Saccharomyces cerevisiae S288C: one gene and its partners. Changing the gene in region 3 together with the main gene of any one other region gives a genetic interaction. Each region holds a gene or a part of one and is shown on either strand. Other genes may lie near its edges. The genes, in order: ERV41, KIP3, SPO73 and SPO1.

Evidence for each region.
Region 1: mutations in SPO73 (region 3) and ERV41 together harm fitness more than expected from each alone (negative genetic interaction), as found in Saccharomyces cerevisiae (2 studies listed by BioGRID).
Region 2: mutations in SPO73 (region 3) and KIP3 together harm fitness more than expected from each alone (negative genetic interaction), as found in Saccharomyces cerevisiae (2 studies listed by BioGRID).
Region 4: of SPO73 (region 3) and SPO1, changing one suppresses a phenotype caused by changing the other (phenotypic suppression), as found in Saccharomyces cerevisiae (2 studies listed by BioGRID).

Annotation. Positions count from the first base shown.
Region 1 is NC_001145.3:135,995-143,764, forward strand, and holds ERV41 (Erv41p), read right to left. Parts: upstream 4,221-7,770; coding exon 4,190-4,220; intron 4,097-4,189; coding exon 3,069-4,096; downstream 1-3,068. Other genes in the region: FACT complex subunit POB3, read left to right, coding at 1-1,164; ITT1 (RBR-type E3 ubiquitin transferase), read left to right, coding at 1,556-2,950; SMA2 (Sma2p), read right to left, coding at 4,430-5,539; ORC1 (origin recognition complex subunit 1), read left to right, coding at 6,216-7,770. UniProt on the Saccharomyces cerevisiae protein: Constituent of COPII-coated endoplasmic reticulum-derived transport vesicles. Required for efficient transport of a subset of secretory proteins to the Golgi. The C-terminal Ile-Leu motif is required for exit from the endoplasmic reticulum.
Region 2 is NC_001139.9:83,069-89,562, forward strand, and holds KIP3 (tubulin-dependent ATPase KIP3), read left to right. Parts: upstream 1-1,816; coding exon 1,817-4,234; downstream 4,235-6,494. Other genes in the region: ERMES complex subunit MDM34, read right to left, coding at 1-1,189; CLG1 (Clg1p), read left to right, coding at 4,913-6,271.
Region 3 is NC_001137.3:238,800-246,036, forward strand, and holds SPO73 (Spo73p), read left to right. Parts: upstream 1-4,380; coding exon 4,381-4,812; downstream 4,813-7,237. Other genes in the region: MEI4 (Mei4p), read right to left, coding at 1-824, 913-975; ACA1 (Aca1p), read right to left, coding at 1,233-2,702; putative AAA family ATPase SAP1, read right to left, coding at 5,011-7,237. UniProt on the Saccharomyces cerevisiae protein: Required for spore wall assembly and ascus formation. Involved in the formation and elongation of prospore membranes.
Region 4 is NC_001146.8:605,704-614,365, forward strand, and holds SPO1 (putative carboxylic ester hydrolase), read left to right. Parts: upstream 1-3,982; coding exon 3,983-4,087; intron 4,088-4,171; coding exon 4,172-5,962; downstream 5,963-8,662. Other genes in the region: HEF3 (translation elongation factor EF-3), read left to right, coding at 616-3,750; YNL011C (uncharacterized protein), read right to left, coding at 6,133-7,467; PYP1 (putative phosphoric monoester hydrolase), read left to right, coding at 7,932-8,657. UniProt on the Saccharomyces cerevisiae protein: Regulates spindle pole duplication in meiosis I, but not in mitosis. Required for meiosis I, meiosis II chromosome segregation and spore formation. Binds phosphatidylinositol (4)P mono- and polyphosphates.

The DNA of each region.
Region 1 (7,770 bases), on a different chromosome or scaffold from region 3:
GGTGACGAATTGGTAGAGATGAGGTTCTATATTCCTGGTGTTATTCAAACAAACGTCGATGAAAACATGACCAAAAAGGAAGAGTCAAGCAACGAGGTCGTACCAAAGAAAGAAGATGGTGCTGAAGGAGAAGATGTACAAATGGCAGTAGAGGAAAAGAGTATGGCAGAAGCATTCTATGAAGAACTAAAGGAAAAGGCAGACATCGGGGAAGTCGCTGGTGATGCAATAGTTTCCTTCCAAGACGTCTTTTTTACCACGCCAAGAGGTCGTTATGATATCGATATTTACAAGAACTCCATTAGACTCAGGGGTAAGACCTATGAATACAAATTGCAACATCGTCAAATACAAAGAATTGTTTCGTTACCAAAGGCAGATGATATCCATCACTTATTGGTTTTGGCAATTGAACCTCCTTTACGTCAAGGACAGACCACCTACCCCTTTCTTGTCTTACAATTTCAGAAAGATGAGGAAACAGAAGTGCAATTGAATCTAGAAGATGAAGATTATGAGGAAAATTATAAGGATAAATTGAAAAAACAATATGATGCTAAAACTCATATAGTTTTAAGTCATGTATTAAAAGGTCTGACTGACCGTAGAGTCATTGTTCCTGGAGAATATAAATCCAAATATGATCAGTGTGCAGTTTCATGTTCTTTCAAAGCAAACGAAGGTTATTTGTATCCATTAGATAACGCTTTCTTCTTTTTAACTAAGCCAACTTTGTACATACCATTCAGTGATGTTAGCATGGTAAACATTTCAAGAGCAGGACAAACTTCTACGTCATCGAGGACGTTTGATTTGGAAGTGGTACTGCGTTCAAATAGAGGTTCTACCACTTTTGCCAACATCAGTAAGGAAGAGCAGCAATTATTGGAACAATTCCTAAAGTCTAAAAACCTAAGGGTGAAGAATGAAGATAGAGAGGTACAAGAAAGGTTACAAACCGCTTTAGGTTCAGACAGTGACGAAGAGGATATTAATATGGGTTCCGCTGGTGAAGATGATGAATCAGTAGATGAGGATTTTCAGGTCAGCTCTGATAATGACGCAGACGAAGTTGCAGAAGAGTTTGATTCAGATGCGGCTTTAAGTGATGCTGAGGGGGGTAGCGACGAAGAAAGGCCTTCGAAGAAGCCTAAGGTAGAATAGTAATAATTTTAGACTGTATAAGTTAAATTTATTGATATTGTGTAAAAACTAACTAATATATTTTGCCAATTGATATTATCATGACATGGTGAGTGTAAGACACCACCTCTTAATTACTGGTGTTATTCTATACATTTATTTGAAATTGGTTTTGTTTTGCAAAATATTTATGTTTTGTTAATCTCCTCTACCCTTTCAATGCTTGAAAAATACTTTCAACTTTTCGATTGGGTGATGAAAAAAAGACAAATAGTGTAAAGGGTTCAAAAATAAATAACAAGCAAGAGAAAGGGACTTTGCTTTTCTCATTTAGTCACCAGTAAGTTATGTCATGGTGTAGAATAACGAATTACAGAAAACTAATATAACTGATGAAAGACCAGGGAGTAAAATGGCTTTGACTCAGTTTGAAAATGATTTGGAAATATTAAGAGATATGTACCCAGAACTGGAAATGAAATCGGTAAAAGTAGAGGAGGAAGGTGAATTCCCTCAAAGAATTAACGGAAAGTTACTGTTCAAGATATCACTATTGGCCGATGTAAATATTGAGTTCGGCGAGCAACATATGTTACTTTCAAACTTATCTAATGAATGCGTGGAGTTCACCATATATAGCTGTCATTATCCGGACATTCGACGGTGTGTTGTTATGGATATCAAATCCTTATGGATATCAACAGATGAAAAGAAGATGTTAATTGACAAAGCGCTGAGACTCGTTGAAGAAACTGTAGATATGAGTATTGAGTTCGCGGATTCGTTTACCTCCATCCTTATCCTCATCTTTGGGTTTCTTATAGATGATACAGCTATATTACTATTCCCTAATGGAATAAGAAAGTGCCTGACACAGGATCAGTATGACTTGTTTAAGCAGATAAGTGAGGAAGCCACCCTCCAAAAAGTGAGCAGATCTAACTACCATTGTTGTATTTGTATGGAAATGGAAAAGGGTGTTAGAATGATCAAATTGCCATGTGAAAATGCGAATGTAGAACACTATCTTTGCAGAGGATGCGCCAAATCTTATTTCACTGCAATGATTCAGGAAAACCGAATATCCAGTGTAAGATGTCCACAATGCGAATACAAAGAATTAAAACTAGAAGATTTCAAGAGCTATAAAAAAATGCTGAAGGCATTGTTTACACCTTTGATTCCAGTGTCCTTCTTAAAAGAGGTTATCGATACAGAGCTATGTGAAAGATACGAAAAAATGTTCTACAACCAGGCGGCTACAAGACTCTCAAAATATTGTCCGTATGCTTGTGTGACTTGTCGAAGATGTGATAGTTGGTGCACAAAAGAAGACCTCGATGATGCGATGATTCAGTGTCAAAAATGTCATTTTGTATTTTGCTTTGACTGCTTGCATGCCTGGCATGGTTACAACAATAAATGTGGCAAGAAAGTTTCGTTATCGACCGATATTATTGAGGAATATCTAGATGATACCGTTACTTCATATGAGAGAAAGCGGAAACTGGAGGCAAAATATGGGAGAAGAGTATTAGAACTTGAAGTCAATGATTACCTTGCTGAAAAAATGTTAGATTTAGCGATTAAAAAAGAGGGTTCGAATTTGCAGCGATGTCCAAAGTGTAAGGTAGTTGTAGAAAGAAGTGAAGGTTGCAATAAAATGAAATGCGAAGTATGCGGGACGCTGTTCTGTTTTATATGCGGAGTATTACTTTATCCTGAGGACCCTTATGAACATTTTAGAGAAGCATATTCAGGCTGTTATGGACGATTGTTTGAAGGTATGCCTGGCACAGAAACTTGAGTGCGATCGCTCTGCCTTCAGTCTCACACTTTTTCTTATAATCTATTGTCATGAAATTTATACAGATGAAAATGAAACGTTATCTTGGGTATACTGCATTCTCTTTTCTTTTACATATCTACCTATCTAAAATACCCTTAGTTTTATCATCTGGCTGATAACGCAAGGACCACTTAGGTCCCATGATGGTGATAAGAGCCATATCCAGTAGTGTGAAAATCCACGAAGCACAGTAGACCAAAAATGAGCAGATTGCCACTAATCTGACCAAAAACTGTATAAAGCTTAAACGAACATCAGAAACTACTATGGATAATGGTTCGAAATTGTATTTGAAGAAGATGCCCGGCATTTTATCACCTTTAGCAGCGACATCTTTGTACAAATAGCGGTAATCGTTAACAGAATATTGATTAGTATCCACTTCTGCCCCCAATTTCTTGAAAAGAGTGGGCACAACAGATGTGTAATAGACGTAAGTAGTTAAAGGTTCATCCTGATTAAACTGTGCAGTGTTATCCAATGGGTTATCAATATATGGATAGAAATCACCAAAAGAGAACTCATTAATAACATGATTAAATTTTAATTCTTCCAGTGGTGCTTTGCGTGAAGCCACGTAACCTAAACTCTTCGCTGTAATCTGCAATTCGCCACTAACTCTATTTACCGGAATGGACCCAAATACATGGCACCCATTGAATTCCGGAAGATGTGCCTTGTTAGGATCACTTTCATCAAAAAATGACCTAGTATCTAGTTTTTCTCTAAATTCTGCTGGGATAGCTTCCCCTAAGATTTCATCCAATTCCGGCGTAATAATTTCATTGATATCATTGACTTTTGTGTCATAAGGAATAAAGAATGGCATCTCTTCCAATTGCAATTCCTCTAATACAAGTTTCCGATCCATTGTTTGGTCTCTGACGTTGATTTGCAACCAATCACATTTCGTGTTGACGTATATATCCATATTAATTTGAACGGTATCTCTAACTTGACTGTCCACTACGTACTGCTGGTCAATATAACCACCGAAGTATTCACCAAACTCGGTCCATGCTATAAACAACAGAAACAGATATGTCAACAAAGATGTTAAGCCACCCTTGGTGGATTTCTTCTTGTACTGTTCTTCAGTTTTTGCTGTAAAGTTAAATTTCCATTGTTAGTGAAAAAGCAAAAGCAAAAATAAAATATGCTGAAGCGGGCTACTTCAGAAAAATCCATATAACATACGAAACGCATCAAATGTCTTCAATCCTGCCATTATATACTCCTGAAGTCTCTGCCTGTACGTTACAGCAAAAGCATTTTGGAGGAACGCTTTTCTCAGTAAGAATAGAACATTGATAATATCTTTTCAAAGCCTTGACCGAGCGGGAAAAAAGGACGTTATGCAAAAATACTTAATATACTGAAAGGCTGTGTATATGTTTACATATTTACTGTCATTTGAAAAAAAAGTTCTGTGGTGAATTACTTCTCCATCAAGTCTGGAGAAGGGGAGTTAGATGTGTCTTCTGTATACTTATCAGACTTTTTGGGCTTAGCTTTGTAATGATTTGCTGCAAGAAATGCGAGTACCAATAGGACCCACTGGATGGCATACCTGGCGAGCCCCATAATGAACCCACTTCCCACGTTTACTTTTAACAGTTCCCAGCCTGTAGTGTGTACAGCAGCGTTGTCAGATCCTACGTCTGTTACCTCTTCAGGTTCTAATGTTTTCAGTGCAATCAAATATACGATGTTACATAATATTGTCAATGTAGCAATAACAACTAATATTGAACTTGATGACTTCAAAAGCATAGGAAATAAGCGGTGTCGTTTCCCAACACTAAGTGCTCCCCCAAAGGCTGACACTACGCAGATACTGAGGAATCCGACTATTATTTCCAACACTGCAAAGTAAAAAACCATGCCGTTGAACATCATCAGTATAAATGCCAGGTTGACGCCTTTCAGATAGTTTTTTGTTGGTGACACGCCTTTTACATTTGGATCAGGACTGCCAATCAAAGCCTTTGATAGGGCATTTCCTGTGTGCTTGTCGTGTTTCAAAAAATCACGAATAGATGTCAATGCCAAACGGTAGGTCAATACGAGAGAGTCTCCGAATTTTTTGGTTTCATTCGATCGTGTAGTGGAAATGTTACCTAATTGAATCCCGACGTCTCTGACAAGTACTTCAAGTACGTCCATGCCATAATTCTCATTAGAGGTACAATAAACTTTGCTTTTATTACTCCGTTTACAAAATCCAAAATAATTGAGCTCAAAAACCTTATCAGGCTGAAATGTGTCCACCAAATTTTCATCCTCATACACACTTGGATCAGTGAATTCATTCGACCAACCCATGTCAATTGTCAGGTACGAAATCAATCGCAGAAATTCTCTTACACTTGCAATAAACTCATTTGCAGTACTGGATCCTCCAATCACAGTTATAGTAAACTGTGGAGCGCATAACCTAAGTCCCTTAGAGTTCGTACATGTTGTGGCTGGCAGGTAGAGGACAAATTGTGATAAACTTAAAATCAATAGAACACCCCACACAATCAGACGTTTAGGGAATAACATGCTCGCCCTTTTATATTATGACAGAAAGAATATATATATTCATATATAACATGCTTCTATTTATTAGTTTTATCTTTTAATTGATGGATGTGTCCATAGAATTTAAGTAAGTGCATGGTATGGAGTGTATAATGGTTTATAATTTCCCCTAAGATGACACAAAAAAATGTTCTCCCAAAAATTTACCAAGAAAAAAAATTAAGAATACTACACAATTGATGCTTGGGTTATTTTAAATATCCGGTACATTCTATTACAAATATGTTTGTACAATGTAAGCCCCTTCATAATGGTCAGTATTAAGATAAGGACTGCTATGGGGCATTTTTTGTCTTACTGGGTATCACAGGATAATAACTTGGCGCCAAATTAGAAAAGATATAAACCTCAAATATTTGAAATTCTTTGGTGACCTGTCTCATCGTTATATCAACAAATATTGCACCAACGAACACCACTACATATGTAACTACTCTCTTCCTCGACTTATTTTTTATTAACGTTGACACGGCCAGATCGAAAATCATAGAAAAACAACAACATTGAGAAGAGATGAAGTTGCGCAAAGGGAAAGAAAACTGCATAGGCGGCAAATTCAGCCTAAAAGTTTCCAGAAGCAGGAACTCATTCCCTATTGATTAATACTCATTACAAAAACCACAATAGAGTAGATAAGATGGCAAAAACGTTGAAGGATTTACAGGGTTGGGAGATAATAACAACTGATGAGCAGGGAAATATAATCGATGGAGGTCAGAAGAGATTACGCCGAAGAGGTGCAAAAACTGAACATTACTTAAAGAGAAGTTCTGATGGAATTAAACTAGGTCGTGGTGATAGTGTAGTCATGCACAACGAAGCCGCTGGGACTTACTCCGTTTATATGATCCAGGAGTTGAGACTTAATACATTAAATAATGTTGTCGAACTCTGGGCTCTCACCTATTTACGATGGTTTGAAGTCAATCCTTTAGCTCATTATAGGCAGTTTAATCCTGACGCTAACATTTTGAATCGTCCTTTAAATTATTACAATAAACTGTTTTCTGAAACTGCAAATAAAAATGAACTGTATCTCACTGCAGAATTAGCCGAATTGCAGCTATTTAACTTTATCAGGGTTGCCAACGTAATGGATGGAAGCAAATGGGAAGTATTGAAAGGAAATGTCGATCCAGAAAGAGACTTTACAGTTCGTTATATTTGTGAGCCGACTGGGGAGAAATTTGTGGACATTAATATTGAGGATGTCAAAGCTTACATAAAGAAAGTGGAGCCAAGGGAAGCCCAGGAATATTTGAAAGATTTAACACTTCCATCAAAGAAGAAAGAGATCAAAAGAGGTCCTCAAAAGAAAGATAAGGCTACTCAAACGGCACAAATTTCAGACGCAGAAACAAGAGCTACAGATATAACGGATAATGAGGACGGTAATGAAGATGAATCATCTGATTATGAAAGTCCGTCAGATATCGACGTTAGCGAGGATATGGACAGCGGTGAAATATCCGCAGATGAGCTTGAGGAAGAAGAAGACGAAGAAGAAGACGAAGACGAAGAAGAGAAAGAAGCTAGGCATACAAATTCACCAAGGAAAAGAGGCCGTAAGATAAAACTAGGTAAAGATGATATTGACGCTTCTGTACAACCTCCCCCCAAAAAAAGAGGTCGTAAACCTAAAGATCCTAGTAAACCGCGTCAGATGCTATTGATATCTTCATGCCGTGCAAATAATACTCCTGTGATTAGGAAATTTACAAAAAAGAATGTTGCTAGGGCGAAAAAGAAATATACCCCGTTTTCGAAAAGATTTAAATCTATAGCTGCAATACCAGATTTAACTTCATTACCTGAATTTTACGGAAATTCTTCGGAATTGATGGCATCAAGGTTTGAAAACAAATTAAAAACAACCCAAAAGCATCAGATTGTAGAAACAATTTTTTCTAAAGTCAAAAAACAGTTGAACTCTTCGTATGTCAAAGAAGAAATATTGAAGTCTGCAAATTTCCAAGATTATTTACCGGCTAGGGAGAATGAATTCGCCTCAATTTATTTAAGTGCATATAGTGCCATTGAGTCCGACTCCGCTACTACTATATACGTGGCTGGTACGCCTGGTGTAGGGAAAACTTTAACCGTAAGGGAAGTCGTAAAGGAACTACTATCGTCTTCTGCACAACGAGAAATACCAGACTTTCTTTATGTGGAAATAAATGGATTGAAAATGG
Region 2 (6,494 bases), on a different chromosome or scaffold from region 3:
ATTGTTCTTCAAGCTCGGGTATCGGTGTTTGGACCGGTGTGGACGTAACTGTTTCAATAGCAGTACTATCATCAACAGCCTGTTCTCCTTGTGATTGTAGGTTCGATGGTGTGCGGGTCTTTTTGCATTTGATCTTTCTTCTCCTTGGTTTGGCATTGTCGTCGTTGCTGTTACTCCTATCGAAAAGTCGAGACTGAATCTTGGTTATCGTAGCCAAATCGTACTGGCTGGAATCTAACACTGTTTTAGGTAATAGATTGTGGGAACAGTAGAATGGCTTTACCAATTGTTTTGATGATACGGTTGATGACTTTGGTTGTGGAAATGATTGCGAAGAGTAGTAATTGTTTAAAGAGGGCATCCTTGATATAAATCTGTACAAGTTTTGTCTTTCCAAGCAACCAGGTATAGCGGAAAGAGAATTCATCACAGTGGAATGTAGTGACAGTGTTGACCTCGACGACACAATGCTTGAAAGACGTAGCATGTTTATTGGAGAAAGCTCTTGAAAATCTGATCCGTCCAAGATTACATTCCTAGACATTGTAGTTTGTTGATGATGATGCTCTCTTTTACCAGGGATGGTACTGGTGCTCTCGCCGCGATTGGTGAACCAGTTCTGTGACGTGTTGAAGATCAAAGAAGGAAGAACATCCTTGAACACTACATGCATGGACTCTTTTAGCCTTCTCTCAATGGTGCTTTGGAGAATTTTTACAGAACAATCAAACTTAAAATCCAAATCAACGTCATTAAAGGATATCCCAATTCCAGGGTTCTTTACAAAAATATTCGTGATGGCTTCTAGCTCGATGGAACTGAACGTCATAGTTATAGGAATTGTGAACGATCCATTATTGATGAGCTGGGGCATGGTAAAGCTGGGTGTATCCTGTTCGTTAATCAATAAAAGATTCGACTCTATGACTGTCTGTATCCGCAACATAGCATCCTTACATGAAATCTTGCAAATCCCCTTGGCCAGAGACTTGGGCTGCGTGATAATGTCTAGGTCCAGAATTTCTAGCTGTGGTATTGTAGGAAAATCCACCTTCTGTACCTTAATTCCGCTTTTCAAGATATCTAATTTCTTTTTAGACGGTGAGTTCAAAGCCGTAGATAACTTTTCCCGTATTCGTTCATTGAAAGAGTTATCACCAAACACAGCTTCGTTGAATCTAAATGACATGACGATGCTGAAGTTTCTTGCAGTTGTGTTTTTTTTGTTATAATTGTTACTGTTTCTATGTTTTACGAATCTTCCATGACTCTTCTAATTGGTCTCTTTTTACTACAAGGCTTCATGGCCCTTTTTCAAACCTAATTTATAAGTTCTTTGCCCTATGCTTAAAACAGTTTAGCCCTATTTAATATAGTACAAAAAAGGAAAAACCTAATTGAAAAAAGCTATTCACCCTAGGTCATTACTACTTTTTCCCTTAGCTAGCCGTGTTTTTAGTTTTTGTTTTGTTTATTTTACCTGTATTATGCCTTGTTTGATGACTTTAGTATGGGTTTGGTTTGTCTTATCCTTGGATACAAAAGGACCAGATACATTCACGTCTGGTCGGTAGAACATCGGTATCCAGTATAGTGTTCAGCTGTTCCTATAGAGACAAAATTTATAATCTGCGTGTAACAAATATCTGCAGGTTAAAAAAGTCCAGATCAGTGTTTCGAAGCTGTTGATTTTTCTTTTTTTTTTTTTATATTAAAATTTTCATATTCCCTGATTGCATCGTTTATCTGATTATCATTTCATTGCATTCTTTAACTACTTGAGTTTTCTTTCCAGCTGTATACTATTGACACTAACATGAACGTGCCTGAAACAAGACAATCCTCCATAGTCGTAGCTATAAGAGTAAGGCCCTTTACGTCAATGGAAAAAACAAGATTGGTCAATGAAGCTAGTGGTGCAGAAGCTAACTTTCCCGGTTTGGGGGATTCGTCGTTAATATTACCCATGAGTAATAACTCCGACTCCGATATAGACATAGACGCTGAAGAAGGTTCTACGCGGAGCAAAAGAAATAGCTTGCTGAGGAGAAAAGTAATTAGACCGGAGGGTATACGTAAAATTGTGGATTGTGTGGATGATAGAATGCTCATATTCGACCCAGCTGATAGAAACCCATTGAACAAAGTGAGTGATCAGGTCCTGAACTCGATGCGTGCAAGGGCCACTAAGGCCACTGCGTCCTCTATCAATAACAGCAATGCTACGAACAAATTTTCTTCGCAACGTCGAAGGCACGGTGGCGAAATCAAGTTTGTATTTGATAAATTGTTTGATGAAACCTCTTCCCAAGCCCGTGTATACAAAGAGACCACCAGCCCGCTCCTAGATTCTGTTTTAGATGGATTCAACAGTACCGTATTTGCTTACGGTGCTACTGGTTGTGGCAAGACATATACTGTGAGTGGCACACCTTCACAGCCGGGGATCATATTTCTAGCCATGGAGGAACTATTCAATAAAATTACAGACCTGAAGGACGAAAAAGACTTCGAGATTTCACTGTCTTACTTGGAAATATACAATGAAAGAATCAGAGACCTTTTGAAACCAGAGACACCATCTAAAAGATTGGTCATTAGAGAAGATACGCAGAACCACATCAAAGTGGCGAATTTGTCGTATCACCACCCAAATACGGTAGAAGATGTGATGGACTTAGTTGTCCAGGGAAACATAAACAGGACTACGTCACCGACGGAAGCAAACGAAGTATCTTCACGATCTCATGCAGTGCTGCAAATACACATCATGCAGACAAATAAGCTTGTAGACTTGACCTCGCAACATACATTTGCTACACTTTCAATAATCGATCTAGCTGGGAGCGAAAGAGCCGCCGCAACAAGAAACCGTGGTATAAGATTACACGAAGGTGCGAATATAAATAGATCCCTACTAGCACTGGGCAATTGCATTAACGCGTTGTGCTTGAATGATGGCAGCAGAAGCTGTCATATTCCATACAGGGATTCCAAGTTAACTAGGCTGTTGAAATTTTCACTGGGTGGCAATTGCAAAACAGTCATGATTGTTTGCATATCGCCCAGCAGTTCACATTATGATGAGACATTGAATACTTTGAAATATGCAAATCGTGCTAAAGAAATAAAGACCAAAATAATCAGAAATCAGCAGTCTTTGAGTAGACACGTTGGATCTTATTTGAAAATGATTACGGAACAAAAGCGACAAATCGAAGAGTTACGCGAACGTGAAGAGAAGATGATTTCTTTGAAGCTAACGAAATACAAACTAAACAAAGAAAAGATCCAGTTAGCCATTAACGAGTGCGTCAATCGTGTTCAGCAAACGTATGCAGGAGTGGAAACGTATCAAGTAGCCAAGACCTTGAAATCATTAATACTTTGTAAAAGGCGGTTTTTGCAAATGGTCAAGCTAGAAGTGGATAATTTGATACTATTATTTGAACGGGAGGAAAGTACAGCCGCCGAGATGCAGCCGGTGATTAGTAATTGCCGAATGATCAGTGGTCAGCTTTATAACAAAATACACGAGTTAGAAATGAAATTTGATGAAACCGACACTCTGAGTTCCGTCATTCATCAGGTACATTCCATTGACTTGAACAAGTTAAGAGAGATGGAGGACTGGGATGAAACTTACGACCTGGTGTACTTGGAGTCGTGTTTAAATCAAATATCAGAATTACAAAGAAACGAAATCTTGGTTAATTCCTCCATAATGACAGAAAAATTAATGTCAGATCCGGGTTTGAACTCCCGATTTAAATTTCTATCAAAGTGGCTGATGAATAGGACACCTAACATTGAATCCATAATTCAAGACCTGGTTCATATCGACGAGGAGTTTGAATCTTTTGCCAGAACTTTTATCGCCAATCCCGATAGCAATTTTACAAACACAAATATAAATATAATAAACACGACGGCAGCTGACTTGGCTGTTCCCGCTGAGACCCTACAACGGCAAAATTTTTCCCAAAAAAAAGTAAAGTGGACGAGTCCCGACCTTAGTCCCAGCCCTATGATTGAACCACAACCGGAGCTAGAACCAGAACTACACCAAGATCAAGACGCCATTGCAAGTGAAGTGGACGTAAGTATGCAAGATACCACATTCAATGAGCAGGGGCCCTCGACCCCCTCCGCTCCGACTACAGCGGTTCCAAGAAGGAAGATGCGCTCCTCCCTTCTTACTCATCAAAGTCTACTGGCCACTGCCAGGAAATAACATACATATCCTACGTAAACTATCGAATATAACTTCTTTCCGCCAGCATTAAACGCATTTATGTTGATTAATTCCGGGTTACGGGAAAAATTTTTCTTTAATTTCTTTTTTTTGAATTTATTTGGCACGAGAAAAGGTTCAAAGTGAATAATTGCTTTTAGTCATTAGACACATTACCTACTTTCTAAGAGATTCTAAAAGAAACTAAGCACCACAAATCATTGATCTTTTAAGAAAAACGCACAAGGATCATATACTAGATTCTCGTTCTCGTTTTTTCTTCCTTTTTTTTTTCTCTAAAGCCTTTTACTGGGTTAATTTCCTTTATTGACCCAAATTAAAAGAAAACGTTTCTCAGGAGACTCTTTTAAGCAAAATTTAGCAAATTTGTGTTTGCTGTTGTTTTTACAGAGACTGCATTACTTGAAGGTTTGCCTTTAAGTCTTCGAGTCGTTTTTTTTTATTAACTTTAATCCTTTTTCTGTGTGTTTGTGTATATTCAGTGGGGTTATTTTACAGTATTCGAAGAGACTTCGTTTCACACATTTAAACCAGCTTTATTAGCGTTTAGCTTATACACTACAAGGAATTTTTTTTTTCTTTAACATTATTAAGACAGTTATTGAGTTAATTCGTCTTCAGCCCCCCTCCCCCCAACAAACCCCCCTTCATATAGAAATGGCTAATACTTTCAAGTATTATCCTGAAACGATGGGTAATTCTAGTGGTTATCCAATTAGTTTGCCTTTTCCGAAAGGTTCGGCTACTTCTGCTGTTAATGTTGCTAGGCAACTGCCTAAATATTTAGGTCATGTTCCCTCGCAATCAGTTCATACTCAGTTGCCATCCATGGCTTCTTTAGGTTACTTCAATCAGCCAAGTTCTACTTACTATGCTCCTCCTGCACCACTTCAACAGCACCAGCAACCACCTATCCTTCCCCCTCCGGGCCTAATGTACACTAGTAACAATAACAGCAACGTTATTCCTCCTCCTGTTCAAATGATTCGGGATGGACAACAACAACCACAACAATCTAACCAAGTAAATGGGGGCGTCAGTGAGAACTTGGACTACGATATTTCTATAATGTCAAAATTTATCATGGAAAATGCCTTTGTTGCCTTCAACGCGAACTATAGTACTGATGACCAGACCACTGATCTTTTTTTCAAGGGCATATCTTCTGTGTTGAATGCCACGAGATTGCCTTCAGCTACTATTTTTTTGGCTATAGATTATCTTTTCAAGTATATCAATAAATTATCTAATGGGATACATTCAATTGGTGGCAATTCGATCAATATCATTTATCAAAATACTATGATTGCGTTCATATTAGCAAACAAGTTCAACGATGACAAAACTTTCACCAATAACTCATGGTCACAGGCAACAGGAATACTGATAAATGTTATCAATGATTTCGAGAGACAATGGTTGAGAATATTTAACTGGGAATTGTATGATAGTGCTTTTCTTTATTTTGAGTTCGTCAAGAATTTTGAGATTTTCAAGCAAAATCAACTCAAACCTGCTGTAGCGGTTCCTACGTTATTATCTCCAATTGTCAACGTTGGTGATACGAGAAACGTAAATTTCAACTTGAAGCCTACTTCCACAAACAACCTATTATCTCCAGTTTCCAATTATGAAACCCCCATGCTGATGCCGCATAACATGTTTTCATCACCATCTTATCAGAGTAACTCAAGGTCTGAATTTTCTAGTATGAATGGTTATTATAACTATTACAACTATAATCAGCCAAGATTGAATTACTATCAACAATTCCCCAATATATATTCTTCACCAATTTCGGAAACTCAGTTTGATTACGACTTCTACAATTTCAGTAGTCAACAACAACAGCAACAACAAAAACAACACTCACTTTTACCTGCCGCTCCACAATTACCTCCCCCTCACGTCCATAATCAGTCTTACGGTCATCATCTTGGCTGGAAGTCAATGGATGACACAATAAATCATTCAAGATTTGAGCGAAACTACTTTCCGTATTCGGCAGTGTATTAGTGAAAACTTTTTTTTCCTTATTTTTTCTTTGATCCCATCGAATTACTTTCTCTTTTGCCCAGGATCATCTTTCTAATCTATCATTTTATTATTTTCTCTCATGAGAAAACAGAATTTCGAAACAGATATAATAAAAAAATTGAAAAATTTGAAAAAAAAAAATCTAGAAACATATTTTCCTAAAATGAAAATCGGAAGCTAACAAAATTTTTGAAAAACGAAA
Region 3 (7,237 bases):
ATGCATATTAGTTTATGCTTCGATACAAATCTAATAAGTACATGTATCAGACTTTCGATGATGATAAGTATGTGTTCAATTAATTTCAGAACAGATACGTATTTTAATATCTGCGGTTCAAATGTTTGGTTTGTCTTGATTTTGATGAGTTGAATGTTAATAATAGAGTAAATAAGGGTAAAATGCAACGAACACAAGCGCTTGTAGTCAACTTTATCACATAAATGTTTGCCATCTCCCTGGTCGTAAAAGTTTTGAAGCCATTTTGGATCGTTTTGGTTCTTCTTCAATAAAATTCTATTAAACAGAAACTTGGCGATGAAATTGAAAACATGAACGTCTATCAGTGTCCTCTTAAAAGAAGAATCAGAATCTATGCGATGCGAATAATGAGAAACTAACAAGATTTGGAGTGTTTGAAACACTTGCGATAACCCTCTAAAGTCAATTTCTTTTGTTTTTAAGCTCAGGATTTTTAGCAGAATTTTATATCTCGGTAAAAACCAGTTGTTTATATCAGCAGTTGATACATCTTTGCTAAATGATTGCAGCTCCTTTAAACCAACTGCATCTTCGAAGCTTTTGTACTTATTCTGGCAAAGGAAATTGTATATAGGTTCCAGATGAGCAAACAGTGATTTATTATTCAAAAATCCATTTTCGAAAGGCGCAACCCATTTGTATATATGTTTTGAGTTTTCCCGAGGATTTATTTTTAAATTTTTTTCACTCTTGAGAGCACCTACATCTTCGACATCTCCTTTCTTTCTTGAAAGTGCCCTCTTCCACAACGTAGGATTCCTGGATTGAATTAAAGCAAAACACTGTCATAGATAATATTCGAGGAGATTACACCTCTTACTAAAAGTTAGTAAAGAGAAAATAGGTTAAGGATGTGACAATTTCACGTACGATTATCCAGTCAACTTCCGATGTTTCCTTTTGTTCCATATCTTCCAGTTTGCCTCTACTCATGTCCTTACTCTTCTAAAAGATTATTTAATGAAACTGTTTCACAACTACAAGATGTTTGTTATGTTTTCTTTTACAAGTCGGAAACATTTAGCCGCCCAGCAATATATATGACTCCGAAAGAAAATGAAAGGAAATACATACATAGTAAAATAAATCGTTTAAACATAAATAATCGTACAGAGGAAAACATTAAGGAAGGAGAGTCAAACTAATGTACTGGGAATTTGGATCTCCCATAAGAAGTATGCGCAATACTTTTATTCATCATATAGACTGGAGCTGCGTATCATTTCTTCAATCATTTTCAGAAACCCGTTAACATCACTATCCTTGTTTTGAAGGCTTTGATAACTATTATTACCACCATTAATTGTGCATTCTTGCATGTGCAACCTCGAAATTTTCTTCATTTTTTGAACCAATTTTTCGTAATTTTCAATTTTTTTCTTCATCATTGTGTTTTCTTTGCTTATTTGGTCAAATTCCCTTTGAAGTTGTAATTGTGACATTTTCTTTCTCTGTCGACACTTGGAAGCGGCAATTCTGTTTCGTTCTAGTAGCCTTGCACGCTTCCAAGCTTTAGCACCGTCTTTCAAGCCTGCAGTATTGTTCTCTATTTTTTGGGGTCTAGCTTCCTGCTTTATTTGGAAGGTTGCTGTAGTGTGCATAGAGGAGAAGGGCGCGGTATGTACGTCTTTCTCACTATTAATATTGTTTTTCAGTGCAGAAGTGGCATCCTTGTATTGTGGTTTTGAGTTGGCATGTGTTAAATTGACATCAGGGCATTTCGATTCGTATGGAAGGCTGCTTGAAATATTCAACTCGGCATTTTGGCAGGAATTATTAACAGTGTGGTGATTAACGCCATGGGAAATTGAAGAATGGACGGATTGATTTTCGATATTATGATCATTAATGTTTTGGCAGGAAGAAGAAGAGGAAACGGAAGAATTAGAGGCTGGAGTACATGGATGCACATTCAATTGAGCGTTTTTCCATGCCTTAGTTTGCATTTGAGCTTGTAATCGGAGTTGCATGTTGATGTAAGCCTGATTCATTGTGGAATCGCCAGATGGGATAGAAGGCGTGGCAGAAGGAATGTCACAAGTGGCTGCTACTGCGGGTATGTTAAGCTTTATATTGCTATCATACGGGGTCATTGCAGCGTAGATATTCTTGCTACCTGTTTGAGGTGCAGCTTCGGGTATGACTGTAGCTTGTTCGTGTGGTTGTGGCACGTTTTGCAATTCGTTCGAGCTAAAGCTTGGGTATATGGCTGCGCTTGGATTTGCCACCTGTTGAGGATTGGGATTCTGTTGCGCCTTAGACGATAGGATCGGAGGCTGACAGTTGTAAAGATTTTCAACCGTTTCTAAGTCTTCGCCTAATTGACTAATCTGACCATTGGAGATAGATATGCGTCTTTTGTACACGGGCTGATCAAACGCTGGTAAAGAACTTTGAAAAATGGGAGGGTTGGTAATGGGAAGATGGCTGATGTCGACGCCAAAGGGTTGAAACATTGGACCCAGGTTTTCTTGCACGCTACGGTCATGCAAACTGTTTTGGTGATGAAAATTGTAGGCAGAATCCACAAGACCAGGACCCGATGGTTGTTTGTATATAAGCTCCTTGTTTGAAGATAGAAAATCTGTATATAAGAGTGGGTTCTGCCTTCCATCTAGGAAAGAATCTGGACTTGTAGCAAAATTATGCTTATAGTCCATACTTTATTTGGTTCCTTAGTCGTTACCTGGTGTTATTCCAGTACTATTAATATAACTCAGTACAATTAGCTGCCGTGAAAAAAAAAAAATAATAAGAATACAGTTTCTGCGCTTTTAGTCGGTAAGCACTCAGATTGAGAGATCTAGATTTACTATATTTTAATAATAACCAGTTAAAGCAGATTTTGAAGATGAACTAACATAAAAAAAATTGATGAATTATGTAACATAATCTTCTGTACCACCAGGGTAAATCGCCAAAGAATATCTGCATCTAAGAACAAAAGAAAATGGTGCCCTAAATATCTTTCAGATGAAAAACTAATTATATATCACTACTAAAAAAAGCCAGAAAAAGAAAAAAAGTAAAATAGAAAATAGAAAATAGAAAATAGAAAAATAGAAATTAAAATTAAGAGCATTTTAAAATTAAGTCTACAAAGTAATACTTGGCATATTGCTTAACTCCTCACGCAGAGCCTTAGCGTACCACTATTTTATCTGATACCACAAAAAGCTGCGCTTTGATGGCCCAACGGGGATATAATCGCGCCACTGCTACTCATGTGCTGCAAACTAACAGTGCCAGCAGAAGCGAGCATTGAAAAACTAAACTTTGCCTTGTTCTGCTTACTTCATGCAGAGGTACAGCTTCGATGTCCTAAGGTTGAACATCATCTTGCTTCGATTTCGGTAGTAATCATTTTGCCTGCACGCCATTGTATGAATCTCGTGCCACTCCCTTTTTAACTCCGAGATACAACTTTCCGTGGGGAAAAGTACCGTAGTATTGTAATTTCGAGAGCATCTTTACGGTAATTGCCCCTCCACACCCAGACGTTACACAACCCTTAGTAAACAGCTGCGGAAAAAAAGTGTGCCTACGCACTGTACGACTCCTGATTGATTCCTTCATTAGCACTGACTGGCTTACGGTGCACATAAGTTATTAAGAGCAGTTTAATTCAGTTGCTGAATAGTCACGTTGATGAGCACGAATACCTGAAACACCAACGGTAATGAATCAATTGGCCTAGCGCATCGTTGTGTGCTTGGGTGTGCCGCACAATGGCAACCAAATACTGCTCGTTCCTGCACTTCGAAAGAAAAGCAGCCAAAAGAAAACGCGTTTTCCTTTGCGAGCGCTGGTTTGTTCCTCAGTTTGATAGAGGCGTTCAATTGGCAATTTGGGCACTAACACCGATGATAACAAGATATCTTGACTTTGACCTCTGATATTGAGGCGTTCCAACCAATAAGAGGGGCTGACGGTTGAAAATAAGGGTAAAAGAGAGCTATTCGGGTTGGGTCGCAGATTAACTTAGAAAACATGTACATGCAAATGTTGTTTTTTACGTACAGAAAGAGGCTGATGGAACCAAAGGAAGCAATAATTTGCACCTTGATATTTTGCGCTTTCTGCTTTTGAAACCTTATTATATGCCTTTACATATACTGTCACGCGACATTTTCACCTTCTACAGTGTTTAATGAAAATCTGGCTTGTGTGCATTATCTTTTTTGTGAAAGTTTATCTCCGCTTAAACAAAGCGATTGAATCTTGTCTACGTAATTGGGCTCGTGGGACCAAAAGGCTACTATTTTCCAGGAAATTGAAGACTTTGCAATCGTAACAAGGTTTCTTTCATCGTTAAAATACAATCATACATAGAGATATATGGGCAAAAACCATTTCTTGAAGGATTTCTCTGCTTTACCGGAGGACGTACTCATAGAAAACGAGAGAGGCATAACTTTACTTGGTTACCCACTATTTTCTCCCAAGATTTTACTGCCTCACGTTGACCCACCACAATTTCAAAGACTAAACACTGAAAATGGCTCGTTAATTGCCCTGTCGAAAAATACTATATCGAACTTCATAGAACTGTATCCTATCGATCTGAGTACTGAACGCACTGCAGGCAGTAGCAGTTCACAGATGACAAAGTGGTTCGTACTGATGGATTACAAGGAAAAGTACGATATTGACGATCAAGGATGGTGTTATAGCTGGAATTTCAATAACTCTAGGTGGAAATCGAAAAATGGCTTGGTGAGAAGAAGGGTCTGGGTAAGACTACCTACGACCAGTCATGGATTAGATTAGTAATAGTTTACGCTAATATTAAATTGTTTAACAAACTAAGTAGTCAAAAAAAAGAAAAAAAAAAAAAAAAAAAAGAAAAGGTGACATTATGCAGAACATATTTTATCGATCCGCTTATGTGCACACAGTTTGTCCAGCTAGGCTAGAATATTATTTATTATTACCATTATTATTATATTATTATTATTATTATCATCATCATGAACCTGATGATCCGAATTGTGAAGCCCACTTTTCGTACTTCACTAATCCGTCCTGGGATACAGAGGGCTTGATATACACTAAACTGTTCTTAAAATCCACAAGGCCTATGGGTCTTATCATCTCCCTCTCTGTTTCTAATAACTTATCACCCAGATCTCGTAGTGGGCCCATGGCAGCATCCTTCGCTAAAGACGTTATATCACTTCCTGAATAGCCCTCAGTAATCTTTACCAGTTCATCAAAATCTGATTCGGTTAACGTGTGCTTTTGATGGGAAAGAAGCTTCTTAAATTGAACGTGTCTGGTCTGGTCCTCTGGTAATGGGATATATTGTCTTCTCACAAATCTTCTCCTTGCAGCCTCATCAATAGACCATGGTAAGTTTGTCGCGGCAAGTACCAGTACCCTTGTATCATCTTCGTCGCCATTGGTGTCAGAATTGTTAGTGTTACTTTTGTTTGAACCAGCCGCTGCGCTGGACAAGGATGACCACTGAACAAGAAATTCATTCTTTATCCTTCGGCTTGACTCATTTTCATTTTCGTTATTCCTACTACCCATGATAGAGTCAATTTCATCAACAAATATTATAGAAGGTGACAATTTTTTGGCAATTGCAAATAGTGCCCTCACTAATTTTTCACTTTCACCCAAGTATTTAGATGTCAAACTGGAAGCACTAATAGAGAAAAAGGTGGAGTGCGACTCTGTAGCTACAGCTCTCGCTAGCATTGTTTTACCTGTACCTGGTGGTCCAAATAAGAGCATCCCCCTGACTGGTTCACGTAACCCCCTGAATAAGTCTGGTCTCAAAAACGGATAGACAACTGCTTCCTTCAAAGAATATTTTGCACTTTCTAAACCAGCAATATCATCCCAATGAACTTCATCTCCGTGCACTACGATTTCGGCAAAAATTTGCTTTGCAGCTTGCCTATCTACACCTTGTAAACTATCAATAATTTCATCTTCTAAAATCTCCCTCAGGACTTTCTTGTCTATTTCAGGCTCTTCTCTTTGCTCATTTAGGGAAGTGGCATGTTCAGTGGCATCTTCTGTTCCAACATCTTCTATTTTTGGAGAACCGATTTTTTTTTGTGCTGGTATTTTTCGATTCGTTTTACTCATAGACGTGGTTTGATTTTTCGATGGCTTCTTATTCTGGGATGCACCATGCGAGTATGGTTTTGAGTTACTTACAGGTCTGGAAGGATGGCTACTCGTTTTCTTCGAACTGGAATTTGGGACTTTCGCCGTTTTGGATTTCAAAATGGGGTGACTCTTCTTCGTAGTGTTTAATGCGGGGTTACTCGCAACCTTTTTGCTGTTCAGAACTCTCTTAGCAGCCATTGCAGCCGTTTTGGGTTTTTGAATTACTGAATTTGGAACAGTCAGAGAAGAGGTCGGAGACGATGCATTGGATTTGATGATTGGTTTTGTATTACTTTTTGATCTTGTAATAAATGTTGGCGTTGATTTAGTGATAAGAGTGGGCGTTGATTTGGTACCCTTTAAGTATGGTACGTGATTATTCTTCATTAATTTTGATATTTGAGGATTCCTAATCTTTGATGAATCCATAGTAGTAGAAGTTTCTAAACTATGTGGCTTTAGAGCGCCAGTGCTGGACGCTCTATCGACATTTAATAAAGGAGGTGGAGGTAATGAAGGAAGAGCAGGGGCGGTAGTCGGCAGGGACTGTATGCATGATCCGGGAACATTTTCTGAAGAACTTACACTCTTATTACTGGACGTAGAAGAAGTAACAGACAAGTCAGACATTTGCTGTTGAATTGCTTCTAACGTTTTTATACGTCGTCTTTCCTCTTTTTCTTCTTCTTCTTCTTCTACGTCGACTTCGGAGAAATTATCATAGTAATCGGACACATCAAACTCGAAACCATCACTTTCTTCTTCATCAAAAACGTTGTGTCCTTTTAAAATGCCGACATCGTGATCATCCTCGTCATTAGTCAAATCTATCAATATTGGCTCTGAGATATATTTATCTGAGTACAGTTCAGTTTCCTTCTTAAGTGGAGGATCATTGTGCTCAATAGGGTTCTTGTGCTGTCTGCTTGCATTGTTGGATAAAGGCTTAGAAGGTACAAAATTTACTCTAATGTTCTCCGCATCTTCTCCGCGTTTTATCGATGTGCTGTTACCATATGATGATAGTGAGGGGTTGGAGTATGCGGTTTTATAGCCGCATGCATTTCTA
Region 4 (8,662 bases), on a different chromosome or scaffold from region 3:
AACAGCAGAGCACGTCCTATATATATATATATATATATATATATATATACATATATATATACGAATATATTTATGACAGTCTAAATCGTTGCTCCTGTTCAATTTTAACGCTCTTTTATAACTGCTGTGGCGCCATTTCTTTGGCATCTAAGATGTGTCTCGGGACTTTCTTTTTCTGGTCATCTTGCTTTCCTTGCCTTGTCATTAACAGAGCTAAACTGTGTTGAGGAAGTGGTCTTTTAAATTTTCAAGGTCGCGGCCCGTGCATTGCGCGGCTGGATGTCTTTTAGGGGAGCGATGCGCTTGCACAAAAGAATAGCCTTGATTTCCGCTATTAATGGGTATATTCTTCTAACAATTTGAGTTTTTTCTCCACTTGTTTCTTTCTTCTTTCTCTTTTCCATTCACATTTTGCTTTACTTTTCTGGATAATATATATGTGCATATATATATATCCATTTAAATATATATATATATATATCTTTTGTCCTCCTCTCCAGTTACTTTTGCGCCAGAAATTCCTTCTTCTTTTCAATCTAATAGAGAAGGGTAGATAGTGTGGTGCAAAAAAAGAGCCTTTTAAACCAAAAATAAATAAAAAAAAGGAATCACAAAATGTCAGATTCACAACAATCAATCACCGTTCTAGAAGAGCTTTTCCGAAAGTTGGAAACTGCTACTTCAGAAACAAGAGAGGGTATTTCTTCGGAGCTTTCCTCATTTTTAAACGGGAACATCATCGAGCATGACGTTCCCGAAGTTTTTTTTGATGAATTTCAAAAAGCTATCCAGAGTAAACAAAAGGCGCTCAACACGCTGGGTGCGGTGGCTTACATAGCAAATGAAACTAATCTATCACCTTCTGTTGAACCGTACATAGTTGCGACGGTCCCTTCTGTATGCAGTAAAGCTGGTAGTAAAGATAATGATGTTCAACTTGCGGCAACAAAGGCCCTCAAAGCCATCGCTAGTGCTGTTAACCCGGTTGCCGTTAAAGCACTCTTACCTCATTTGATTCATTCGCTGGAAACTAGCAACAAGTGGAAAGAGAAGGTTGCTGTTCTCGAAGTAATCTCTGTATTGGTAGATGCCGCTAAAGAACAGATTGCCTTAAGAATGCCGGAACTAATTCCCGTTCTTTCGGAATCCATGTGGGACACTAAGAAAGGAGTTAAGGAGGCGGCAACGACAACCATCACAAAGGCAACTGAAACTGTTGATAATAAGGATATTGAGAGATTTATTCCAAAATTAATCGAATGTATTGCAAATCCAAATGAGGTGCCTGAAACCGTTCATCTCTTGGGTGCAACTACTTTTGTAGCCGAAGTAACTCCAGCGACTTTGTCTATTATGGTTCCTTTATTGAGCAGAGGTTTAGCCGAGAGAGAAACCTCTATAAAACGTAAAGCTGCGGTTATTATCGATAATATGTGTAAATTGGTTGAAGACCCGCAAGTTGTTGCTCCATTCTTAGGTAAACTACTACCAGGGCTAAAGAACAATTTTGCTACTATTGCTGATCCTGAAGCGCGTGAAGTTACATTAAAAGCTTTAAAAACCCTGAGACGTGTGGGTAATGTCGGGGAAGATGATGTGTTACCAGAAATATCGCATGCTGGTGATGTTTCCACAACACTGGGCGTCATCAAGGAATTACTGGAACCTGAAAAAGTGGCCCCAAGGTTCACCATTGTGGTTGAGTACATAGCCGCGATTGCCGCAAATCTAATTGATGAAAGGATCATTGATCAGCAAACGTGGTTTACACATGTTACACCTTATATGACTATATTTTTACATGAGAAAACTGCAAAGGAAATACTAGACGATTTCAGGAAAAGGGCAGTAGATAATATTCCAGTTGGACCGAATTTCCAAGACGAAGAGGATGAGGGTGAAGATTTGTGTAATTGTGAATTTTCCTTGGCATATGGTGCCAAAATATTACTAAACAAGACTCAATTGAGGTTGAAGCGAGGTAGGAGATATGGTCTATGTGGTCCTAATGGTGCCGGAAAATCCACTCTAATGCGATCCATTGCTAATGGCCAAGTTGACGGGTTCCCCACTCAGGATGAATGTCGCACTGTTTATGTGGAACACGATATCGATAATACACATTCGGACATGTCCGTTTTAGATTTTGTATATTCCGGCAATGTAGGAACTAAGGATGTTATTACCTCGAAATTAAAGGAGTTTGGGTTCAGCGATGAAATGATAGAAATGCCAATTGCATCCCTATCTGGAGGTTGGAAAATGAAATTAGCTTTGGCGAGGGCTGTTCTGAAGGACGCTGACATTCTACTATTGGATGAACCAACAAATCATCTAGACACTGTTAATGTGGAGTGGCTGGTAAATTATTTGAATACTTGCGGAATTACATCGGTGATTGTCTCTCATGATTCTGGTTTTCTGGATAAGGTTTGTCAATACATCATACATTATGAGGGTCTTAAATTAAGAAAGTACAAGGGTAATTTATCAGAATTTGTTCAAAAATGTCCTACGGCACAATCATACTATGAATTAGGTGCCTCTGACCTTGAATTTCAATTCCCAACTCCTGGTTATCTAGAAGGTGTCAAAACGAAGCAAAAGGCAATTGTTAAAGTAAGTAATATGACTTTTCAATATCCAGGGACAACTAAACCACAAGTCTCAGATGTTACTTTCCAGTGTTCTCTATCCTCAAGGATTGCAGTTATCGGACCTAATGGGGCTGGTAAGTCCACTTTAATTAATGTTCTTACTGGTGAACTGTTACCAACCAGCGGTGAAGTATATACACACGAGAATTGTCGTATAGCGTATATTAAGCAGCACGCTTTTGCACACATTGAATCGCACTTAGACAAAACTCCATCCGAATACATTCAATGGAGGTTCCAAACTGGTGAGGATAGGGAAACAATGGATAGAGCAAATAGGCAAATAAATGAAAATGACGCAGAGGCCATGAATAAAATATTTAAAATTGAAGGGACCCCAAGAAGGGTTGCAGGAATCCATTCAAGAAGGAAATTTAAAAACACGTATGAGTACGAATGTTCGTTTTTGTTAGGTGAGAACATTGGTATGAAATCTGAAAGATGGGTTCCAATGATGTCTGTCGACAATGCTTGGCTACCAAGGGGCGAATTGATTGAATCCCATTCTAAAATGGTTGCTGAAATTGATATGAAGGAAGCTTTGGCTTCTGGTCAATTCAGGGCTTTAACAAGAAAAGAGATTGAATTACATTGCGCCATGTTGGGGTTGGATTCAGAATTAGTCTCACATTCAAGAATTAGAGGTTTATCGGGTGGGCAAAAGGTTAAATTGGTACTCGCTGCCTGCACGTGGCAAAGACCCCATTTGATTGTTTTAGATGAACCTACGAATTACTTGGACAGAGATTCATTGGGTGCTCTTTCAAAAGCATTAAAAGCTTTTGAAGGTGGTGTCATTATTATTACGCATTCGGCAGAATTTACTAAGAATCTGACTGACGAAGTTTGGGCGGTTAAGGATGGGAAAATGACACCCTCTGGCCATAATTGGGTTGCAGGACAAGGTGCTGGCCCAAGAATTGAGAAAAAAGAAGAAGAGGGTGATAAATTTGATGCTATGGGTAACAAGATTAATAGTGGGAAGAAAAAAAGCAAACTCTCTTCTGCAGAATTGAGAAAGAAAAAGAAGGAGAGAATGAAGAAGAAAAAAGAGATGGGTGATGAATACGTTTCTTCTGATGAAGATTTTTAATTTGAAGTCGAGTACATCTCTTTCAGTGAGTAACTTATATATTTTTGAAGTTAACATCCTTATTCTTTTTTTATATTTTTATTTTTTTTATGTTTATTTTCTATTACTGATTTTCACAAAGAAAGGTAAAAAAAAACATACTTCAGCGGCTATACAACCATATTTAAGTAAATGCACTCAGAGAAAGTATACAAGTAAAAAACCTAAGTAAAGACATAAATATCCCAAAATAATGCAAAAACTCCTCTTTGTCTTTTCTGTGTTATTGACAGTAGTACTAGCAACAGCACCATTTCAGGTACAATGTCCTAGCTCTCCACTTATTAGGGAGGCCAAAGTAAGTTAAACTCTTTGCCACTTTAACAAATATGGGCCAAAACTAACCGAATATACCAAAACTTCGTATTCCTTTGTTTATTAGCATGAACTCTGTCCAGAAGAAACCTTGTATCTGAAGAAAAAAAAAATTAAAACGAAGAATAAACTGATTCAGTTTTTAAAATCCTTGACAGAGGCAAAGTTTAGTTCGAAGTTTTATAAACGCGTGTTGAAAGATCCTCCAAAAATTGGGATTGCTATATCTGGCGGCGGGTACAGATCCATGTTAGTAGGTACCGGATTTATTTCCCAAATGAACGATTATGGCCTTTTTGAATATTCGGATTATATTGCTGGATTATCAGGCGGAAGTTGGATCTTGATGGATTTGGTAGTTCAAAATTTTGAAGTAAAATCCCTGCTACAAGAGTGGGACCTTGAAGAGGATCTTTTATTAGGCATACCGGAATTCGATATTTCCGAAGAAGAAATTGTTACCAATGCAAAAAAGGAGTATAATGATAATGATTTGAAGATGAAGAAGCGTCAGGGGGGTTCTCTGATTACAAGCTCTTCAAATTTTTATGAACAAATAGAGGAGATCATGAATTCCATAGAAGAAATCCCAGAAGACTATATGATAACGAAGAGAAACTTGAATCCATTAGCAAGACTAAAAAAAATATTCTTTCCTAACAACACTTTCACTGGAACTGATGCGAAGATTGAAACCTTTAAAAAAGTGCTAGACTTTTACAAAAGTTTGCATTTGAAAATTAAGCCTAAAAAAATGGAGGGTTTCCAAATATCGTTCACCGATTATTGGGGTAAAGCAATCGTTCAAAGACTAAAAAAAAATTTCGATGACGATCCCAACCATTCCTTTTCGTTTTCGAAGCTTGTAAACTCGTCTAAAAAATTTAAGGAATGCAGTGTGCCGATCCCAATATTCGTTGCAAATTGCAAAAATGGACTTCTTTCAAACGTTATATTTGAATTTACGCCCTTTGAATTTGGATCTTGGGAAAATATCCTCAGACTTTTCGTCAAGTTGCCCTATTTGGGCTCAAAAATTGTTTCTGGAAAGGCCGAGAAGTGTATTAATAACTTTGATGATCTAGGTTTTATTACTGCGACGTCTTCTTCAATATTCAACAATGTGCTCATCTTCATCTGGAATTTGGCTTCTCAGTCCTCCAGAGAAGCAATGAAAGCTTTGAATATGGTTATGGGAATTTTTGGCCTAGGTAAAGAGGAAATATTTAGTATTTCGAAAGACTCCTCGAGATTAGAGACAGACTATGCCGTATATCAACCCAATCCCTTTTATCTTTATCCTGAAAAAGACAATGTCCTAACTAACAAAAATCATTTATACCTTGTAGACGGCGGAGAAGACGGCGAGAATATTCCACTCAGAACATTGGTGATTCCTGAAAGGGAACTAGATGTAATTTTTGTTCTGGATTCTAGTTCGGATATTGACAACTATCCAAACGGCTCCAAGTTAAAAAGGATATTCGAAAAATTAGATGAAGAGAACGTTCATTACCAATTTCCGAACAATGTAAAAACATTCACTCACCCCATTGTTATAGGATGCAATGCTACCAAAAGAACTGGACATGATTCATTTTTGCCAATTATAATTTATCATGCCAATGCGAATCATGGAAACGCATCTAATACGTCGACATTCAAAATAACTTACAATCAGTCTGAAGTTAGCAGTATGTTACCCACTGGAAGGGGAGTGTTTAGCAATGATTATGACCTTTATTATAAAAATTGCTTAGGCTGTATATTAACCAAAAGAACAATGGACAGGCTCCCAAGAAAAAAGAAATTTTCGCCATTTTGCTTACAATGCTTTAAAGACTACTGTTACTCATAAGAGAGTAGACTTTTTCTGTGAAATTTAATGAGTTTTTGTTCACCTTTTTTACTTTTCTTCTATGCCATATGGTTAAATAAAACATGGTTCAAACGCGATTCTTTTTTATTATCTATGTCTTTATTATGTAGTCTTCACTATAATAACCGTTAATGAGCGACATAGTTGCATCAGTTTTTAAGGCCAATTTGATTCAGAACCTTTTCAAGTTCTTCACTTTCCATCTTATCCGAAGACGCGATCTGGTGGCATCTAATACTATGCTTCTCGAATATCGTTTCATCAATTTCAATTTCACCATTTTTTAGGTAAACAATATCAGTAATAAAATCTTGCCATTCAAAGTCATCATTCTCTGAATGGACACCCTTAGATTGCCTATAGCCTGCTATTGCCCTACTCATAGAATCTATGATCATTTGAACGTAGTGTAAACCGTCTAAACCAAAAACCTCTCTATCATATTTATTATTTATGAGCAAAACTTTTTTCGTATTATTAGATTCCAAAATTACTTCAGCAAGATTACCAAGAATAAGGATTGGGAGTAAACTTGTCATTAAAGAACCGATAGAATAAACGACCATGTCAGCTTTTTTCACCTTGGAAATAGCTCTTGGATTTCCCATTGGTTTTATCTCTTCGCCATATGGGTTTATATACAATATCCTATGTACCGGAGCAGGTAGATTCTGTGATTCATCAAGCTTGTCAAAATGCAACTGGGAGTTTTTCAGTTCTGGAAGAATATAGATAGGATTGGCATACTCCTCTTCCGCTTCTTCTTCCTCATCGTCGAGGAGAATTTTCAAATGGTCGTCATAAGAGCCAAGTAAATGAATAAATTTAGCTGAATGTGCTATGCTATTATCTTTAGGAACAGATTTCGAGGGATGCGATATTTGTGATTGGCCAGTTATCATCTCACCATTCGTCAACAAAGCCGAGATATGATGTGTGTGATTGGTATTTATACATGGAATAACATGAACTAGAGGACTGCACCTTCCTATCCTCATCATTAGTTCAATAGATGCGTCTAGAGAACCTAAAAACAATCTAGCACCAGTTAAGAAAAAATTTCCAATGGATGCACTCTCAAACTGAAATGGATTCGAGTGTTTGATTTTTTTCAAGAGTTCTGCTTGCATATGGATAATAAAAGAACGACACATTTCCTTAACTTCTATCGAAATATTTTTCCATATGGGATGCGAACCTTCCACTATTTCATTCCATTCTTTCTTAGCTAATAACTTATCATTAGGTAGCCTATGGCCAAACAACTCGACAAGCTGTTCATCTTGAAGTAGTCTCACTATTCTAGATCTGATATCACCAATTGCTGGGCCACCAACTATTCGTAGAATTTCACTTGTGGACCCGCCATTATCTGATATTGGCAATATATACGTCAGCTCATGTCCTTTTAAGATAGAAATATTAGAAAAGCAAGGAGTCAATGAATTTGTGGCAGTCCCACCGGAGCACACAACGACGTTCATCTAGTAAACTATCTCACCACACTCTGCTATTTTGTCCCCTTATTACCTCGAGGGAACAAAAGATTCCGTTTCCTCTCTTTCATAGTCCGCCTAAATAGCTTAAGAAATAAACCCAAACATCACACATTAGCGTTCTTTAGGAAATACGAAACAGGTTAATACAACAGTAGTAACTTTCCACATAATATCTAAGCATTACACGCTGAAAAAAACTCTTTATTGGATATCAACAACCCAACACATTGTACGACATATTCTTTTATCGTTCTACTATGGTACCCTGTTCAAATCTCTTTTTCTAAAATGAGCGAAATTTTCGAAAATTATCGCATAATTTTTCATCATCTTAAATTAAAAAAATACAGTGTCCTCTATTGTTTATCTCAACAGAACGCACACATTCTTGAAACTTGCTCACATAACATAAGCTGGAGTGACATAGCATTTATATATATACAAGGGAAATGGTCAAAGCTGTTATTTTTACCGATTTCGACGGTACCGTTACTTTGGAAGATTCTAACGATTATCTGACCGATACTTTAGGTTTCGGTAAGGAAAAAAGATTAAAGGTCTTCGAAGGCGTGTTAGATGATACTAAGTCTTTTAGGCAAGGTTTCATGGAAATGCTGGAATCCATCCACACCCCTTTCCCTGAGTGTATCAAGATCTTAGAAAAGAAAATTCGATTGGATCCTGGTTTCAAGGATACATTCGAATGGGCTCAAGAAAATGATGTCCCTGTCATCGTTGTTTCCAGCGGAATGAAACCAATTATCAAGGTTTTATTGACCAGATTAGTTGGACAAGAGTCTATTCACAAAATTGACATTGTTTCCAATGAAGTGGAAATCGATGCACATGATCAATGGAAAATCATCTATAAGGATGAAAGTCCCTTCGGACATGACAAATCCAGAAGTATCGATGCTTATAAAAAGAAATTTGAATCTACCTTGAAAGCAGGTGAACAAAGACCCGTTTACTTTTACTGTGGTGACGGTGTTTCTGATCTAAGTGCTGCAAAAGAATGTGATTTGCTATTTGCCAAAAGAGGTAAAGATTTGGTCACTTATTGTAAAAAACAAAACGTCCCATTCCATGAATTCGATACCTTCAAAGACATCTTGGCTAGCATGAAACAAGTTCTGGCTGGTGAAAAGACAGTCGCTGAATTGATGGAAAATTAGTGCAA